4 linked regions of the Drosophila melanogaster genome follow. The protein of the gene in region 1 purifies or fractionates together with the protein of each later gene. This does not show direct contact. Each region holds a gene or a part of one and is shown in the gene's direction. Other genes may lie near its edges. The genes, in order: Toll-6, spz5, wek and kek6.

Region 1 (4,963 bases):
GTAATTGGTAAAAGAAAAACATCATGTGCCTAAATAACTAATATTTTTAGCGAATATCTTACTGAGAAAATCTCTCAAATTAAGACTGAACTGCAATAGTTTTCTTCACTGTGCAGGAGGCTTATTAGACTTGGCTGCTGTTCGTGGCTCTGCTGCTGCTCCTGCTGGTGATATAATTTTAATAACTTACATAATATATTCTTTTGTGTGGCCAAGCCACATAATTGTTAGAAACATTAGGCAAATCATTACCCCAGCACGAAAAATGGGTGGGAGGCGTTCTGTTGGCTGACGCAATTTGGCAAAAATGTTTTTGTGTTTGCTTTTAGTGGCGACAAAAAGATCCTTAGCCACAACACCCATGGATATGGGAAAACTTTCAAGCCAGCTAAGAAATATTAGCCCAAGATAAAGTGTCCAGGGCAGCTGTTTTTCTTGGGAATTAGTCATGAAAGACCCGAAGTTTATCAAGGTTACCATGCCGTGGTAATCGCCATTGAATTTGTTGGCGGTGATCCATCAATATTTCTGCTTTCACCCAAATATTGAACAATCAAAATACATACATGCCGGAGGTTAACGAAATAAGGAACAATAGACAGTCTTCTTTGTAAATTAACCCTTGGAAAATTTCCTTGATAGATTGATTTCTTTTTCGAGATACCAGGACTACTTTAGGTAAGATTATAATACATTCATCAAAATCATAGGCGCGTGAAGCAAAAATTGTATATTTATTATTTGAAGTAGTAAAATGTTCCAAGTGTAATTAATCTCAAAGAAATATTAATTTAAGTCCAAAAGACAATAACATAATTCAAAATTTAAGTAACTACAAAAATCTGAATTTGCAGTGTGCGATTTAAGATATCCTATAAAAGGAGCTTTTTATAAAAACTCTGCTCACGAATTTTCATATTTGCTATTTCCAGCATCTCCCAATCGAGTCTAACCAAGTCCTTGCATAACTTTCCGGATTTGAGAACGAGGAATCCACAGAAATCCCCACACATCCAAAGCCCAACGAAACCCCATAATGCTGGCCCATAATCATTATCATTAACCTGATGGGGAAGACAGTTTTTTGCTGCTTTGCTGGGCGAAAAAGAAGTCATGAAACCACAGGAATTGTTACATGAGGCGCAAACAAAACAGTTTAATTAAAATTATTATTGTAATTTAATGGAATGTGAGGAATTATTATTTTTATACGGGTCTGGGCCCACGAAACAGGAGCAAAAAGCAGCCGAAGGACCTTCTCGGCACACCGACACACACATGCACATGGCATAAAAATAAATTACGTTTGTATGAAGATTGGCGCTGGCCCATGCACATCATATATTTTCATTATCAAAACAGAGACAGCAGAGAAGTCGCCGGTTGGCGGCGGGGGGTGCGGAGCTCTATCTCCGATTCGGCGGCAAAAAAATAAAGGATATACGAAATACGACGAAAAAAGACAGAGAAAATCAAAAGGAAAACACGAACGAACGCCAGCTGTTCGATGCGATTAGATGGAGAGAAAGAAAAACATTTTCCAGCATCCGTCGAGCCAGAGCGAATTTCCCTTTAGTCATACTCTCCGAAAACTCTCAGCATTTCCCGCCCGTGCAGAGCCTGTCGGCTGCTCTTCGTCTGTTTTCCAGCCCCCTTCGGCTCGCGTTCGGCTTTTCGGATTTTCGGGGTTTCGAGTTCGTGGACGACTCTCCATTTAAAAGAGAAGTTGCGCACGTTGCGGCAGTCAGTCGAAAATCAGCCAACGTGCGCGTTACATTACGAACCGGAAAATATCGACGCTGCTGCACCGCTCAAGTCCCAGAAAAAGTGGGTTCAGTTCAGCCAAATGAAAAAGTGATAATAGAAGTCGAGCCCGCAGCTAAATTGAAATTCATCAAAGGTTCCTATAACGCGACGTGTAATAAACAAAAACTTCGAAGCGAGTAATTCAAAGCGCCGAAACGAATAAAAAAGAAAAATTTAAATATAAAGAGGATAGAAAAGGCCAAGTGCTAGAAAATGTGCCGGGTGTAAGAGAGAAGAAAACACGGAGAGCATAATTAACTAAAGAATCGGGGGAAAATAAAGAAAATCTGGCTTGGAGTAGAGGGAGCACAGAAGCCGAAAATATGTGCGCAGACTTTTCTTTGGCCAGCCAGTGGAATTGATTTTCTTTTCGTTTCTCCCCAAGACCCCCGCTTGTACCGTCTTTCCCCCCTCCGCAAACCCATTTTCCGGTGCCTCCACGCAGCTAAACCGTGAATCGCCAAAATGATCTACTATATGCTACTCATACTGCCCGTGGTCCTGGCCCAGGATCAGCAGCACACCACGGAATCGCTGTCCACCAAGCACCACCAGCAGCAGCAGCTGTCGCACTCGAATGCGATAATGGGTGAGGCTGGGGTCTCCAACTCGCAGCTAATGCAGCCCTCGACTCCGGCGCGAACCCTGCGACCCTTGACCGCGGGCGCGGGTGGTGACCCTTCGCTGTATGACGCCCCCGACGACTGTCACTTCATGCCAGCAGCGGGTCTGGATCAGCCGGAAATAGCCTTAACGTGCAACCTGCGCACGGTGAACAGCGAGTTTGACACAACCAATTTCAGTGTTATACCCGCCGAGCACACGATTGCCCTGCACATACTGTGCAATGACGAAATCATGGCCAAGAGTCGCCTGGAGGCGCAATCTTTCGCCCATCTGGTTAGGCTCCAGCAGCTGTCCATCCAGTATTGCAAGCTGGGGCGACTGGGTCGCCAGGTTCTGGATGGTCTGGAGCAGCTGAGGAACCTGACGCTCCGGACGCACAACATCCTGTGGCCAGCGCTGAATTTCGAGATAGAAGCGGATGCCTTCTCGGTCACTCGGAGGTTGGAGAGACTGGACCTCAGTTCGAACAACATCTGGTCCCTGCCGGATAACATATTCTGCACCCTGTCCGAGTTGTCTGCCCTGAACATGAGCGAGAATCGCCTGCAGGACGTCAACGAGCTGGGCTTCAGGGATCGCAGCAAGGAGCCAACCAATGGTTCCACCGAATCCACCTCCACCACCGAATCGGCCAAAAAGAGCAGTAGCTCAAGCACCAGTTGTTCGCTGGACCTGGAGTACCTGGATGTGAGCCACAATGATTTCGTCGTGCTGCCAGCAAATGGATTTGGCACTCTGAGGAGGCTGCGAGTCCTTTCGGTCAACAACAATGGCATCTCCATGATTGCGGACAAGGCTCTCAGTGGACTGAAGAACCTGCAGATCCTGAACCTGAGCTCCAACAAAATCGTGGCCTTGCCCACAGAACTCTTCGCTGAGCAAGCCAAGATTATCCAAGAGGTGTACCTGCAGAATAATTCCATAAGTGTGCTGAATCCGCAGCTCTTCTCGAATCTGGACCAGCTGCAGGCCCTGGACCTGTCCATGAACCAGATAACCTCCACCTGGATCGATAAGAACACCTTTGTGGGTCTGATTCGTCTGGTTCTGCTTAATTTGTCGCACAACAAGTTGACCAAACTGGAGCCAGAGATCTTCAGCGACTTGTACACCCTGCAGATTCTTAATCTGCGTCACAATCAGCTGGAGAACATCGCAGCCGACACTTTTGCCCCGATGAATAATCTGCACACGCTGCTGCTGTCGCACAACAAACTGAAGTATCTGGATGCATATGCTCTGAACGGATTGTATGTACTGTCGCTGCTCTCGCTGGACAATAATGCGCTGATTGGCGTGCATCCGGATGCCTTCCGGAACTGCAGTGCCCTGCAGGACCTCAACTTGAATGGCAATCAGCTGAAGACAGTTCCGCTGGCCCTGAGGAATATGCGCCATTTGAGAACCGTGGATCTGGGCGAGAACATGATTACCGTTATGGAGGATAGTGCGTTTAAAGGTCTGGGAAATCTCTATGGTCTCCGCTTGATTGGCAACTACCTGGAGAATATTACGATGCACACCTTCAGGGATCTGCCTAATTTGCAAATCCTGAATCTCGCCAGAAACCGCATAGCAGTTGTGGAACCGGGGGCCTTTGAGATGACCTCGAGCATTCAAGCTGTGCGTTTGGATGGCAATGAGCTGAATGACATCAATGGCCTCTTCAGCAACATGCCCTCCCTTCTGTGGCTGAATATATCCGATAATCGTTTGGAATCCTTTGATTATGGACATGTGCCATCCACCCTGCAGTGGCTGGACCTCCATAAGAATCGGTTGAGTTCCTTATCAAATCGTTTTGGTTTGGATAGTGAGCTAAAACTACAAACTCTCGATGTGAGCTTTAATCAACTTCAGCGCATTGGACCCAGTTCCATACCAAACTCTATCGAACTGCTGTTCCTGAACGACAACCTGATAACCACCGTTGATCCAGATACCTTTATGCACAAAACCAATCTGACCCGGGTGGATCTCTATGCGAACCAAATCACAACGCTGGACATCAAGTCCTTGAGGATTCTGCCAGTTTGGGAACATCGAGCTCTGCCAGAGTTCTATATTGGTGGAAATCCCTTCACCTGCGATTGTAACATTGATTGGCTGCAGAAGATTAACCATATAACATCGAGGCAATATCCAAGGATTATGGATCTGGAGACCATATACTGCAAGTTGCTGAACAACAGGGAGAGGGCCTATATTCCCCTGATCGAAGCTGAACCCAAGCACTTTTTGTGCACCTACAAGACCCATTGCTTCGCCGTTTGCCATTGCTGTGAGTTCGATGCTTGTGATTGCGAGATGACCTGCCCCACGAATTGCACGTGCTTCCATGACCAAACCTGGTCCACAAATATTGTGGAGTGCTCGGGCGCAGCTTATTCTGAGATGCCGAGACGTGTGCCCATGGATACCTCTGAGTTGTATATCGATGGCAACAACTTTGTTGAATTGGCGGGACATTCGTTCCTTGGTCGCAAGAACTTGGCTGTTCTCTATGCGAACAACTCGAACGTGGCCCACA
Region 2 (5,038 bases), about 12 Mb from region 1:
AAATTTTCTTAATTATTTGGAGTATTAAAATTGATAATTAGTAAAATTGGTCCGGGTTTTTAATCAACATATAAACAATAAATAAACAAACTTGTGTAATATTACTTAGCTTCTGTCAGCTAGCAATCGAAGATCACAACCAAAAGGCGAAACGACCGAGTTTTTCTAGCGTTTTCGAGGCGGTTCCGATACGTTTCTTGGTTTAGAGGAGATACTTCATAAAATAGGCCGATCTTTAAGCGGATCGACCCTAAGCACCTTTAGCCATTACGTCACGGGCAGCGGGTGATGTTCGGCGAGCTAGTGGGCCAAAAATAATGGAAAAGAGGTACAAATTGCCCAGGGCAATCGACGGCTTTAATGGTTTCATTGGCCAACCGGCGGCATTGAGTTGGTGGACCCAGCCCCTAATTAACCCTTTCGCAATTGCAGCTAAGCCTTAAAACGGCGGTGGGAAGTTGGGGGAGTGGCCCCTCCACGTGTTATATACATATGTAGCCGCGATAGTTTTAGGTATAAAATGATACCTTTGGTCCCGATACCTTGGGCTCGGAGTTTGATTAATGAGCGGCTTAAGTGAATCTCAAATCGAATCTGAGCCTGCTCGGCCGGCAGACTGATGAAGTCACTAATTTGACTTAAAAACGCATTAAAAACCATTTTCGATAAGAGCTTGGAGCCCCATATTGTGATTTCGGCGAGGGTTTTCCCGTACTTTTCTGTCTAGGTCTCGTCTTTGTGAAAGTTGTGCAAAATTGGAGCCAAGAAACCAAAATTGAACGATGAAGCACCCAAGGCGACGGATAAAATTCCAAAACCGCCTCGGAAGATTTGAGAGTGCAAATCTCTTGCTATTGGCAATCAGCTGTAAACATAAATAATGTTCGAGTTTGCGGAGAGTGGACTAACTGGATACCCAGTGAGTAAATCATGTAACCATACTCATTTTTATCACTAATTATCGAATTTAAATAATTCATTTCATTTTCTGAAAATCTTGAAAATCTTACTAGATATATTTCGGTCTATTTGGCTTATACTTTGAACCATAAAAATAATTTAGGCCTTTGATAGTTTAAAACTATTTTACGGTATACATCTCTTTCAACCTTTTTAAAAATTAAATTTATTTGTTTTTTTCTAATTATGTACACACATATTGCATATTCAATACTTTAAAATAAATTGACAGAGAAATTACTGCTCAGCGCTTTCTTCTTGGTTAAAAAGTATTGTAAATATTTATTAGGAATGAAAAAAAAAAAAATAATTCCCAATATACCTGTGCTGAAATATTACCCATAATTCCAGCTTTGGCAACGCGCAAAATTGATTTAAATGCCTTCGACGAGAGACAAAATCGGAGGTAACTCCTACAATTGTGCGTGGTCTTGGCCATTAAAAGCCTTTTCTTGCCAACATTCAATGTCTGTGCCGGAGGCAGCGCCAAATCAAATCAACGGCAGCAGTCACAAATCTGCGACAGATAAAAGCTGTTAACTGACCTTCATTGGCCATAAAAATCCAAATTCATCGCCCGAACAATGCGCCGTATCTATGGGCCAAAACCGGCGGCAACGACGAACAACAATTGGCGAGCAGAAAAATTAACAATTTAAATAAATTCACTTTATTGCAGTTCGCATATTGGCGACAATGTAAAATAAACAATAAAAGTGGTCAATAAATAAGGCCCACGTCATATCGAATGGCCCGAACCACTGGACTTCCGGTCTTGAATCGGGCCAAAAAAGAAAAAGAAAACCGCACCACATATCACATTATACTATGTGGCCAACGACATGAATCACGGGCCAAAAAGTTCAAAGTTGAGCGGGCTAAATTGAGAGATTAGCCTGGGAGATCAGAGCCGGCTATATCTTTTGCTATATAGCTCTGCTCTGACCCAAGCTCTGCTTTTCTCTGCCTCTTTTCCCGAGTTTGCGGCTCTGGGCCGCTGTTAACTTGGCTAAGACCGCTCAGTTGGCTACGAGCTGCCGCCGTGAGCATTGGCAAACGCGTGAAACGGAAAAGACGAAAACGAAATCGAAATCGAAAACCTAAAGTCCAAAAACCGAAATATCCGCGCTCTTCGGTACGTGTTAAGTTTTTTAATTAGTAGAATTTTCAAGTGAGTGTTCGGTGGCAAAAAAAGAGAAAATATTTCACTGAAATACAAAGAGCATAGCTAAGCTCGACAAAAGTGCACATAGTGATCAAAAACATTTGCCAAATACTGTGAAGCAAAAACCCAAACAAATCTACAAGCCGCACACTAGGTGAGTAATTATTAAATTGAATACTTTAATTCCCGCCATAAGTTAATAAATTTCATTGGTTCGTCATCGCAGCTCTGATTTATTATAACGCTTGATTGTTTTCCTTCTTTTTGTATACACTTGTAACCAAAATGTTAGGAAACCAGCAAACACAAATTAAATCAAAGCGATCACAAAACAAAATCCACAAAAAATGCAGACAACACTTTGGGTAAATACAAACAAAATATAATCAAGTGGGGAGAAAAAACCTTGAAAAGTCGTGCTTAATTTCTTAGCTAAATGCAGGCATAAAATATATGTTTAAAAAATTATAATGAAGCTCAGCTATTTGTCTGCCTCCAATCGAATCCATTGTTTTAGTCCCTAAATTAGCTTCAAATAACCCAACCTCTTTGTGAAGGAAAATAATTCAGAGGCTTTGGAAAAAATGCCCGAAGCAGAAGTCTGTCTCTTTGATAGTTTATTTAATGGATAGAAGTAAGGATAGATATTGTGGAAAGTATACAAGTTTACCAATTAAATAAACTAGAGAGCTTAAAACTTTCCTGTGTCAAACACTCGCGTAATAAAAACTTAATAAGCAATCATTATTATTAAATAGCTTTATAATTAATTAGCAGCATTTCGTTTCATTCAGCTCTTTTTTTTAGCCTGCTAATGCTTCAATTAGATGCCAACAAAATATTTTATCCCCTTAAAAAAGTGCCAATCGGGTGAATAAGTGAGAATGTCTGGGCGAGACAAAGATAAAGATCTGACAATCGATCATTACTCAGGCGGGATATAATTAATTAAATATAGATAGATGATTTTGCGGCCAAATCATTCAAATAAATTGAATGGGGCCCAGCGATTTTGAGCACTCAATTTCGAAAATGATGCCGCAGCCAATGGATTAGCCGCTAAAGCTTGGTCAAAGATCTTTAACAATTTCATTAACTTTTGGCCCGTCGGCCTAATGATGTGCAAATGGCCCAAAACACACCATAAAACACGCTGCCACTAAAGTTGCCAAGGGAAACAATGCCAAAACCCATGTCCAACTTCTTTTGGCTGCTCTGTGATTTATGAGGTGATCGCCTGGCGCAACTTTGGCATCGGGGAAATACCAGCAATACGTGGGTGTAGCCATGTGCAAGACTCCATTAGCAGATCGCAGACACTAAATCTGGCTTCGATGCACAGCAGAAAACATGGTTGGAAACGTGGTTTCAAAATACCTAAGCTATTTTAATCTCAGAGAAATATGTGTTATTATATGTATATATAAAATTGTATAAGCATTTAAAGCCCAGCTCAACTACTAAACAACATTTTGTGTTTCAAACTTCTGTTTGATACTTTAATATGCCGTGAATGTTCATTTATTATAATTGTTTTCTTTATTTTTTCATTTTTAATATTATTAATATAATTATTTCCTGTGTACCTTGACGGACACTTTGTCATTGGCTCTTGTTTGTTGACTGATTTGTTTTGCTTGGCTCGTGCAAAAGAGCCTGTGATCCCGGAAATCCTATCGCAGCTTGTGGCAGGTGTTTTTGTATCGGTATAAATTCCAATTGATTCTTGAATGCTCGCTGTTTTTACAGGCACCCCATGTCTGAGTGTTAAAGGCAATTGTTATTGCTTTTTGTTCTATAAATAATTGTGGTACACATTATATTGAAACTATAGCAAAACTTGACACGAAATCCGGTTTTTACCATTGACTGTGACAGCTTTAGATTTGATCACTTGTTAGCATTGTTACATTATAATAATTAAAATATTTGTATAACATTTTTTGTTAATTTTTAGCTCACTTTCGTTAGTTATGTCAGCTGTTAATTAACATTTAATTACGGGATTTTTAATTTTCCCAGATTTTAAAAGTTGATTTCATACGGGAAACATGTTGGGAATTTTTCTTTGAGCTTCTTGTTCATATAAAAGCATTGCTAACTATCGAAATCTAGTCAAAGTTATCTCATAGTTTCCGCAATAAAAACTGCTTGTATTATTATATATATATTCTCTCCAACAGTTGGTAATATATCACTTTAAATATGCAAAATATCTTGCATTGATCTAAACTTAAATTGTCTATAAAACATCCGATTTAAATACCGGCATATTGAAATTCCGTTTTAGAGTCCTAATAAATCATTAGAGTTTATAAGTATTGTCATTAGCTGACAGCTCGGGTCGCCAATTGAGAACGCCCCCACAATGCATGGGGCGTGTCCAGTCCATTATCTTCGCGGCGTATACTTAATCTGCGTATACTTAATCTTGTTGTCTGGAGCTTGTTCGTCACTTTCACTTTTGGCAATTTATTTTCGCTATTTACGGGAGTTGTTCGAGTTGTTTGGCTGTTGTTTGCTCAAGAGGCTGTCGGTGGTGTAGTTCGTGTTTGTGTTATTGTTTTAGTTGTTGATTGTTTAACTTAACAATAAGCCCAAGTGAACTGTGGGCAACAAATAAGCACTTTGAAGCATTTCCGCTGCGGAAAAACCATCACTTATTGTCTGTTTCGTGTCCCAATGGAAATGGTGCGAGAAATGGTCGTGTATTTGCCATTTTTTTGCGACTAATATTTGACCAAATAACTCATGGCAGTTTCTCTTTCGCTTCAGGTTTCCGAATTCACGTTGAAGACACTGGCTGAATCGCAATCGAGTCAAATGCAAATGCAAATCGACGGCGAATGAATTGACAATGACAAAAAGTATTAAACGTCCGCCCCCCTTTAGTTGTAAACAAGTTCTTCTTAC
Region 3 (4,619 bases), on another chromosome or scaffold:
TCCTCGCTGCAATGCGACGTTGTGCAGCTTCAAGGAGGCACTGCATACCGTCTTCAAGGTGACCAACCGGCGACCCTGGGTGTGGAACGCAAAGCTGAACATCGGCAGCAAGATCTCCATTAGCCTGCAGGGCATAATCGCCATGAAGAACCAGACGCCCGTAAAGCTGGTAAAGGTCTGGGCGGAAAAGGATGAGATAGTGATACGGGAGACTCGTCATTATATCAAAGGCACTGAGATCACCCCGCTGCCGGAGAATCTGATAACCGGTTACATGCTGGGCGGCACTCCGGTGCCATACGACGAGGCCGTGCTAGAGCCAAAGGAACCACACCCACCTGGTCTCCACTTCTTTGGCTTTATCAAAAGAAATGCCGTGCCGGATGAGTACTTTTGTGGCGAGTCCTTGTACCTCCTGGTGCATCAGAAGCACAATCAATCTGCCGCCGTGAAGCTGGACGCTCTGGTGCGTGCTCTCGTTTCTTCGGATCGGGCCATACTGTGCTGGAAAATATATAGCACCAAGTTTAATAGACCGCAAATGGTTGTGCTACTGCCCCGCTTAGCAGACGATACCCATCCGGCTACTTTGTATATGCTGGAAGTTTCCTATACGTCTCAGCACCACTTCTGGGACTTTCCGGCACTGCGAACCACCAAGACGGAGTGCAGCGAGGAACAGCTGAATGCCATTGATCAGTTAATCGATAGCACCGATCTGGAGTGCACACTGCGGGACACGCAGCAGCCACGTCCGTGGGCGCAGAATGATCTGCTGCCGTTCGACGCACTTCCCAGCATCTTTGAGCAGAATGTCATGGACATCCTAGAGCGAAAAGTTATCTATGATAACGACAAGGAAGACAAAATGCTTAAGGACAAAAACTTCGCAGATGTATTCTGGCGAGTGCCAGATCCCTTGGAGGAGAAGTCAAAGAGAGCGGCAGCCATCGTAAAGAAGCTATTTCCATTGCGCTATAGTCGCGCCTGGCAGGAAAAGCTGTTGGCCAAGGAGCAGGCAGAGAATGGTGTGGCAGTCAAGTCGGAACCAGCGGAGAAGGAAATCCCGTTGCCATCAGACGGTGTGGGCTTAATTGATCCAATCTCTGATTTCAGGCGAGTCCTGGCTAGCGTTCACACAATCAGTAATGCCACTGAGCGAGATGCCCGCTTTCAGGCGCTGGCTGCCGATACCCGCGTGGTGATCATCACACTGCTGCAGCGCAGGAAACAGAACATCGGGCAACTGGGCGAGCTCATCACCCTGTACCGACAGAGCTGTATAGACTTCAACACCTTTTTGGAATACGACAAGTTCGCTGAGGAGCTGAAGAAGATCGCGCTGGCCAAGAATCGCAGCGAATTCTGGCAAGACGTTATGGTCGACAAGCAATTGGGCCCTTTGGTGCTTGGCGAGCCGACGCTGGACGACGAATTGGCTCTAAAAGCCTATTACACCATCGAGAATTGGGTGGAGAGTGGGGCGAACGATATGGAAGACGTTGAGATGTAGTTTATCATTCCATTTTGTTATATTAAGCAAATGTGCTAAAATTAGTTTTTGTTATACACAGTTTTTCTTATATGTAAGTCGAAAATAAATTATTATATTGTTTATATATATATACCAGAGTAAAAACTCGGTCGCATGTTTTAAAAACAACATTATATCCCTGGGAAACCACATCCAAATGATGATGATAATACATCTCTATGTTAATAAACATCGACACGCAGGAAGGAAAACGTTAGTAATACTTCTTATGATTGAGAAAAAAAAGTAAAATAAATACAATTTTCAATTCCAAATTTAAACTGAATACTTTTTGAAAATGGCGGCAACAACTTGTTGTTTTGCACTTATCGATATTTCCAAAAATCATCGGAGTGCGCATACCAATTAATCGATTCGGAATTCCGCTCCATACAGCTGATTTTAATCAGCGCTTTGGCAATAGAATTTAGTCAAAACCCGAGGGCATACTGTACCAAACTGTGGGGCTTCTGTTGAGGATTAGCCATGGGAGTTCCCACAAGCGATTGGATATACTGGTGTCGCCTGTGCGCCCGCGACGACGTTGTATACAAAGTGCGCGAGCGGGACGACGATCTGGTTAGGATTATCAGCAAATGCTTTGATGTGGAGGTATGTTATTCGTTTTCCCAGCCTACAGATAGCTTATACATTAGTTTTCCACACACGCAGATGACCCTCGAGGAACCGGAACTGGGCAGCATGTTGTGCGAGGAGTGCTACTCGGTGATTGGCCAGCTGATCACCTTCTCGGATAGCGTTTCCAAAGTACAAGCCATTTTTGAGCTTCTGCGACACTCGGAGCCGCAGGATAGCCAGGACTTGGACGCCCTGCGTCTGGAATACGGCCTTCCGCCGGCCTGCAAGCAGGACCTCGAGTTCCTGGACATAGACGATACGGAGGATAGGTGTTCCTTGGTAGAGGAGCTAACGATATCAGACCATTCCACATCTCCGTCACCCGATTTTGAAGCACAGACCGTGCGAACACGAGCTAATCTCAAACAGTGTAATTCCGATCCCAAAGTGCTAGCCTCACCTACTGCATCAATTCCTGAAGTTGAAACAAAACGAAGTCGCCGACAGCAGTTTGCGGCTAAGCGAAATTCCAAAGTGTACACTGCAACCGAGTCGGATGATGAGGAGGCCATTCTAGACGAAGACGAGGCCGTATCCCCGCCGCCTTTGAAGCGAAAAAGAGGCAGACCCAAGGGCTCAGGCAAACAGAAAAACGTGGACGACAGCGATAACGTAACTTCCCGCGAACCAGACGACAATGCTAAATCCAAACAAGATGACAAGACATCCGAATTGAGCATGTCACCCCATGGCTCCCAGAGTTCGAATTTCGTCGATTATCCCTGCAAAATCTGCAACGAAACCTTTATGTCCTTCATGGCTCTGCGCAGGCACAAGCACGACATGCACGGCGGTCCGAAGAAATACGTTTGCGATCACTGCGGAAAGGGTTTGAAGACCTTCACATCGCTGGTGGAGCACCAGCTGGTTCACACGGAAGAGAAGCCCTGTATATGCCCCGTCTGCAATGCTGGTTTTAAGAACAAAGCTAGGCTGAGAGTAAGTCATCGAATAATCTTGTGGACCAACTAAATCTTGAAATTTGTATACAATTTCCAGGTGCACAGTCAGACACATGGTGAGCCCAAGTTTGAGTGCAATGTCTGCGGCAAAAAGCTGCAGACACGGGCGATTCTTAACAAGCACAAGTATGTGCACACGGATGAGCGGCGCTTCAAGTGCGAGGTTTGTGGCAGCGGCTGTAAGAACTCCACGGCCTTGAAGATCCATCTCCTTGGACACACCGGCCTCAGACCCTACGTATGCAAGTACTGCGGAAAGGCGTTCGCCAGCAACACCAACTGTCGCTCCCACAAATGGAAAAAACATCCGGAACTGGCGTCCAAGGAGGATGAAACCGAATCTTCACGTGTTCCAGTGCCAACATTGGAAGAACTGAGAGCGATGTAAGCTATAGTCATGCATATTATTATTATTAGCTTACTATTGTACTAAATTTTTGGTTTGCAGAACTCGCGAGATGGCCAAGGCCAAACAGGATTAGACCATGTTGGTTGACAAAAATGTATAAATAGCAGTGCGCAGTAAAATTTTATCCCAGAGACATTTACATTTACACTTAATTAAACACACAACTGCCCTTTTTGCATTTAAATTGGTTTTTAATAAGTTTCAAAATAAATTCACTTTTTAAACGCACACTTAAATTGGGAAATGTGTTCACACATGAAAATGACATTGTATAAAAGATAATAATTGTTTGACTCACAATGTAGATTTAAAAATAACAATTGTAATTTGTGACACCAAATTATGCGTACACTTTGAAACACTCAATTGAAACTCCTGTGAGCGGTTGCAGCATATTTTAAAGATGAGCGCTATTCATAGAACTCCCACGCATGGTTCACTAGATTGCGACAAGTTGGTCTGTAGATAATTCCAAGGGCTTATTCACAATAAAATCAGTTTGAAATTATAACTCAGCAAATGTAAATGCTTCGTGCTAACACCAGATACATTGACACCTAATTAAACACACAACGGCCCTTTTTGCATTTAAGTTGGTTTTTTTTTTAATAATTTCAAAATACATTTACAATTTAAACGCACACTTAAATTGGGGAATGAATGAATGGCATATTGATCACCTATCAATATTTTGTGCCACAACTCGGTGATAAAATAGTAAATATTAAGCGATTAAATAATAAAAATGTAACAAGAGAAAAAAATATAAGGAACAACTAAATTAATACAAATTAGATCATTTGTGAGTGGGTCTCTGTGTAGGATAAATATCTAAACATGTTTTGATTTCGATGGTTTCTCTTTAATTACTTGCTGTTTAGGTTAACACGTTGAGAAGCAAAATATTTTGGCATGGCCTTCCTCCAAACCGAGCAGAGTCAATAAATAGTGCATCCAAGTAGGTTGGCTCTCTATCCCTTCCACCTTCACTCACTCCTAGTCAATGTTCAGCGAGGACATTAACTCTTCGACGCTGCATGGAAATAGAGGAAAGAAAAAATCATGTTGATTAAAC
Region 4 (5,034 bases), on another chromosome or scaffold:
GGAGCTCCAAAACGCAGCCACGCCTTACTCCGCCACCGTATCGGTGAACAATCTCAAGTATGGCACGGGCTATGGCACCAGTAAAAAGCAGGCCAAGTCAGAGGCGGCTCGGGAAACGCTGGAAATACTCATTCCCGATGTCAAGGACAAGATAACGGGCAACAATAAGGACCAAAAGAGCGGCACTGCGAAGAAAGCGCAGAGCGATCTGTCTGTAAGCAATCTACCTATAGAAAATGGAACCACTTCTTATTTTTATATTTCTTGCAGGTTTTCGATGACATCCGCATCGAAGATCCCCGAGTCACCGAATTCTGCAACAAGACGACGGAGCCATCTCCCAACGCCATTCTGCTGACTTGCTTGCAGCGCAACTACGGCAGCGATGTTCAGATCAGCCAGGAGATCAACCGCACCGCGAATAACAAGAACGAGTTTACCATGACCGTGGGCAAACATACTGCCAAAGTGGTGTGTAAAAACAAGCGGGAGGGCAAGCAGTTGGCTTCGCAAGCAATCCTCCAGGTGAGCATTGATATTTCTTTATAACTTTACTTATAGCTATTGAGTTAACCTTTCGTCAGATTTTGCATCCGCACATCCAGACCTGGGGTTCCTTGTTGCGCCTCTACGGCAACAACTCCATAAAGACCTTCAAGGAGAAGAAGCTGGAGGAGCAGGAGATCACCGTGCTGCAGAGCAAGGCGGCAGTCAACCAACCCAACTACGCCATACTGGACAAACTTAAATCCGAGATGTTGAAACTGTGTGCCAAGCAGGAGAGCGTCCTAACCATGGGCACTTTTGTGCCGCCAAGCGACGTCGATCTGCCCACTTCCTCCGGGTCCAATTTGAACAACGTGGAACTTTGATTGGGAAACACACATCTCTCTCGCCAACATTGATTCTCTAGTAGTGCATGACAACCTCCTAGTCTCTTAGTTACCCACCCATTTCCATATTCGAAAAGCTAATGACAACAACGACGCGTTCTCTAGAGGCATACGAACTGATTTCAAATCGGCTTCATCTATCTGAGCTGGTTAATCTGAAGTGGCTTTAGCAAGTGGCCAAAAATGAAGAACAATTGCCTATCAAGTGGTTTTACATTAAGGTAAATTCATCACTAAATTTGCCAAATATAAGTAGTTCATGCTTGCAATAGCTAAGATTAGGGGTTCAATTTCACTTGTATAATATAAGCTTGAATAAAATACTATTAAAAACGCAGTCCTTTATATTTGAGTATAGAGATGTTCGTCTAAGATCTTTATCTGCAATACCAATTAAAAAAGTAGAGTTCTTAAGTATTTGACAACTATTCATTTGGGCAGACAGCAGGACAATTATTTGCTCATGATTTGTTTATCAAATTTCCTCGTAAATCTTCTCGTATCGCTTTCATTCTTGGAACGTTCAAACACCATTGACCCGTAACCAATTTGGAAGACATTTTAAAAAGTCGTATGGAATATAAAAAAATGCATATTTACATGGCCATTAGGATTCTCGGGTGTTTTTAGGCGGTCGGTCGTTAGGTGAGTGGATGTTAATATTTAAGGCGGTGGGCAGGGTGTAGGTTCGTAGGTGTGTGTGCGTGCAATTATTTAAAAGACGATGCAGTCATAAATTATGCTACATTTTCATTTCATTCTAACGTTTCCTTTTTTATAGCATTCCAACGAGCGTGGCACACACACATACCCACCACGGAGAATGCGGAGAGACAGTCGCAGAGAGAAAGTCCGAGAGAGAGAGCGCGGGAGAGCGGCGCAGGCGCAGATCCCGGATTTTGCGCAGCAGCCATGCTGCGAGATGAATTGTGGCGAGTTCTGACTTGCCAATTCGCAGGCCATATCTGTATCTTCAGTACGGATTCTTCGCGTGGCGAGAAAACCACTTCCCGGCGCTCCTATCCTCAGGACTTTCGTCTGGGATTTGTAATTGAATCACAGTAACTCGGGACAGACCGAAAAAAAAAACGGGGAGAAAAACAGAAAGCCAAGAGGTGAATTCGGTGGTACAGCTGAAAAAAGGCCAACTGCAGTGCAGAGCAGAATCATTTTTATTGACATTCATCTTAGTTGCCCCCTCATCCCTCGGTGCCCCCAAAAAAACCAACTTCATAGCCCCCCAGTTCCTCGATTCTCGACTCTCGACGTTCGATTCCCGGTGCTCGTGTGTCGCGTGTTGCAAGTGCGTGGGTCGCGCGTCAAATCAGTGGATGTAGCAAGCGGTACGACACGCGCGCCGTTTTTGATTTTTCGCCCAGCGGCCCAGAAATCGGGCCTGGGAAAAAAGTGCGGATATTCGGTGAAAGACGGAGCACTCGGAAAATAAACGGAAAATCGGGTACACACACGCACTCCTGTACACCGTGTCCAATGCATTTGGCCCGCTTGGCCCAAGCACTCGGAGATATGTAAATTATGCCAAATTCCATTGGAATTTCCGTCAGAGCCAGTGAATCGGTAAGCAGCAGCCGCCGGAGCAGCAGAAGGCGGAGGACGCAGGACGCAGGACGCAGGAGCAAGCCAGTAGCAGCAACAAGGACTGGAGCAACAGCAGTAGGCGAAGGTAAGCGGTAGCGCATTAGGCGCCAAGTGTCAGCGGAGAATGCTGGAAAATTCAATAATCCGCCGCAGGGCGCCCGTTTGTCCCCCTCGTGCCACACGTCCTCCTCGCCGTCCGCCTGCCCGTCTGCCCGAAAAACCCACTCCACGCTTGCCATCTGGGCGCATACCGAATGAACTCGTGCACGGGCAGAAAAAAGTGGATACTACTTTATTTTGGACTGAAAAATTGATGGTGGAATTGTGCTTTACGGTCATTGTCTTGGAGTTTGTGCAATTTTGTGAATTTCCATCCAACGTGTTCCCAAATAAATCCCTACGGCTCAAATGGAAATGGGGTATCGGCTCTTCAAACCCCAAATCCACATCCTTTTTCACAAGGAGAGGCGGTATTATTTATCTTACATTATCGTATAATGGCATATACATATGTATCTGTAGGCGTGTGTTAATTGAATTGCAATATTTGGGAATTTTATGGCGCCGCAAAACAACAGGAAGGGTTGAGTAAATATTGGCAGAGTAATCCACAGAGCGAAGCTGCCAGCTTTTTCTCCTTGTGCACTTACATGGCACATATAGGATACTCGCTCGGCTCTGGCGTAGTCTGTTGCGTCCAAAAGTAGGTTGACTTCGGTCTGGCCGGGTTTTCGGGATTGGATGGGATGGGATGGGGTCTGTTCTGCTTTGCGTTTGGCGATGGCTTTGTTGCCGCTCGATATTCGTTTAGTTTCTATTTCTTTTGCTGTTTCGGTTTCGTTTTCACTTCCAGCTAATTTCGGTGAAATAAAGAGATGAAGAGTAAATAAGAAGTCGGGCGGAGTGAGGACGAATTGGGGGAGCGCCACTTCCCGCGGGAGAAAGTGTCCTTCCTTTGAAGTTGTGCTAAGTAAATCCAGGTAATGCTGCCCAGGACCGCAGGCTTCCATTTTGGGGATTCCTTTCAAGGACTTCTTGAGGAAACAGACGAATTATAGACCCTTTCTAATACATTTTCTTTTCCGGGCTTCCGATGGGTTCGCCTCCTTCTTCAATATAAAAAAACAAAATTTCTCTAAGTTTCGTTCAATTCGGGTTGACAACATCCATTGGATGCAAGAATGTTGGGTTCGAGTAAAAGTTTCTTCCCCATTTACACCTAGTAACTGTGCCAAAAATCGATTATAGAGACCCTTGCTTTATGTTTTCCTAATTCCAATTGATGTGTCTGTTAACTGAGTTGAAAGTAATACTCGTTTAAGTTCTAGCTGAGACAAATGGCAAATACGTTTATCTGCAAGGATTTGCCCTTAATTGCCTTCCCAAAATGCTTTCAACTTGAAGGCATTTAAATCTTGCTTTGCCATTTTGTGGCTTTGTGGCCAAAGCTCTTTTTTACTTAGCCAGATTTTTCCATAACAAAACAGATTTCAATGTTTTTCATGTGCACCATTTTTACAAATACAAAAACTGATTCGAAGTGGCTAAAAAGTCCGAAGAAGGCAGCTCACGTAAGCTTTCCTTTTAATAATGCTCACATTCCCCGAAAGTTTGTTTTAATTAATATTCCGAAATGCTAAACAGACGAAACCAGACAAACAAGCCAGCGAAAATATTTATACAAACCTGAAAGTAAGTTCCCTCGGCTGGAGCCAAAATTTCAAGGGATGCGTAAACTTGGCAGTGAGTCCTGCCCCTCCTCCTCCGCATGCCAAATTCTCGTTTGCGGGTTGCAATGGCAACGATCTGGGAACGATGGCACCGCAAGGTGTCCTTTGATGTCTGATAAGCAAATCCCGGCAATGTGACACCTTCGGCTCAATGGATGACCGACCCGTCGTCACCCATTTTCCATCCTCCATCTTCCATTTCGCATTTCCCACAAAGCGAGCGACCACCAAGAAATCGGAAAATCGGGGGAGCGGTGCGAGTACTTAATAATGCAAATACCCACAAAAACTTTTTGGGGGTTGGGGTCCTGAAAAATTCCAAGAGGGGCTTATCAAATTCTTCGAATGGCTTTGCCCAAAATAGAAAAGTAAGCCAGAAAAATCGCATTCACTCAGTGGCGCTCGACTGTCGGCCAATTTGGCGTGCTAACAAATTATCGCTGGCCGGGAAAATCAATAAGCATTAATCTTGTGGCGATTTTGTCTATATCCCGCACATTATTTGCATAGTTAATGGCCAGGACCACGGGTGCCGTTGGCCATTCAACCGACCACCGACCACCGACCACCGGCAACCAACAACCGATGGGTTTAAGTCCGAGTGGTTGGGCAATTGTTAAAATCGTTGTCCGCCGGACGAGGTGATTATAGCCACTTGTAGTTATGATTGGGGAATCGATTTCAGGCGAAAACCGTAAGCTCCTGCCGTTTACTTAACTGGAAAGTCGGACGGATTCGTCTGCATTTGCATTTGTATAATTAAAACCGATGTAGAACTCTGGAGCCCCGGGCGAATTGTGATTGTTCGAGTG

The links.
Region 2: the proteins of Toll-6 (region 1) and spz5 purify together in Drosophila melanogaster (affinity purification with western blotting; one study listed by BioGRID). This does not show direct contact.
Region 3: the proteins of Toll-6 (region 1) and wek purify together in Drosophila melanogaster (affinity purification with western blotting, with the first as the bait; one study listed by BioGRID). This does not show direct contact.
Region 4: the proteins of Toll-6 (region 1) and kek6 purify together in Drosophila melanogaster (affinity purification with western blotting, with the first as the bait; one study listed by BioGRID). This does not show direct contact.

What each region holds. Positions count from the first base shown.
Region 1 is NT_037436.4:15,334,954-15,339,916, forward strand, and holds the start of Toll-6 (Toll-6), read left to right. Parts: upstream 1-1,738; 5' UTR 1,739-2,271; coding exon 2,272-4,963.
Region 2 is NT_037436.4:2,889,108-2,894,145, reverse strand, and holds the start of spz5 (spatzle 5), read left to right. Parts: upstream 1-1,979; 5' UTR 1,980-2,279; intron 2,280-4,900; 5' UTR 4,901-4,982; coding exon 4,983-5,038. UniProt on the Drosophila melanogaster protein: Neurotrophin which may function as a ligand for the Toll-related receptors Toll-6 and Toll-7. Binds to Toll-7 and Toll-6, and probably acts as their ligands in the promotion of motor axon targeting and neuronal survival in the central nervous system (CNS).
Region 3 is NT_033779.5:15,765,633-15,770,251, reverse strand, and holds wek (weckle), read left to right. Parts: upstream 1-1,902; 5' UTR 1,903-2,020; coding exon 2,021-2,146; intron 2,147-2,206; coding exon 2,207-3,112; intron 3,113-3,172; coding exon 3,173-3,519; intron 3,520-3,583; coding exon 3,584-3,617; 3' UTR 3,618-4,119; downstream 4,120-4,619. Other genes in the region: Ku80, read left to right, coding at 1-1,513; CG3793 (uncharacterized protein), read right to left, coding at 4,541-4,577. UniProt on the Drosophila melanogaster protein: Acts as an adapter to assemble/stabilize a Toll/wek/Myd88/tube complex; required for efficient recruitment of Myd88 to Toll. Dispensable for innate immune response; plays a minimal role, if any, in the immune defense against Gram-positive bacteria and fungi.
Region 4 is NT_033777.3:31,620,246-31,625,279, forward strand, and holds the start of kek6 (kekkon 6), read left to right. Parts: upstream 1-1,890; 5' UTR 1,891-2,577; intron 2,578-5,034. Other genes in the region: pasha (partner of drosha), read left to right, coding at 1-214, 271-525, 585-872.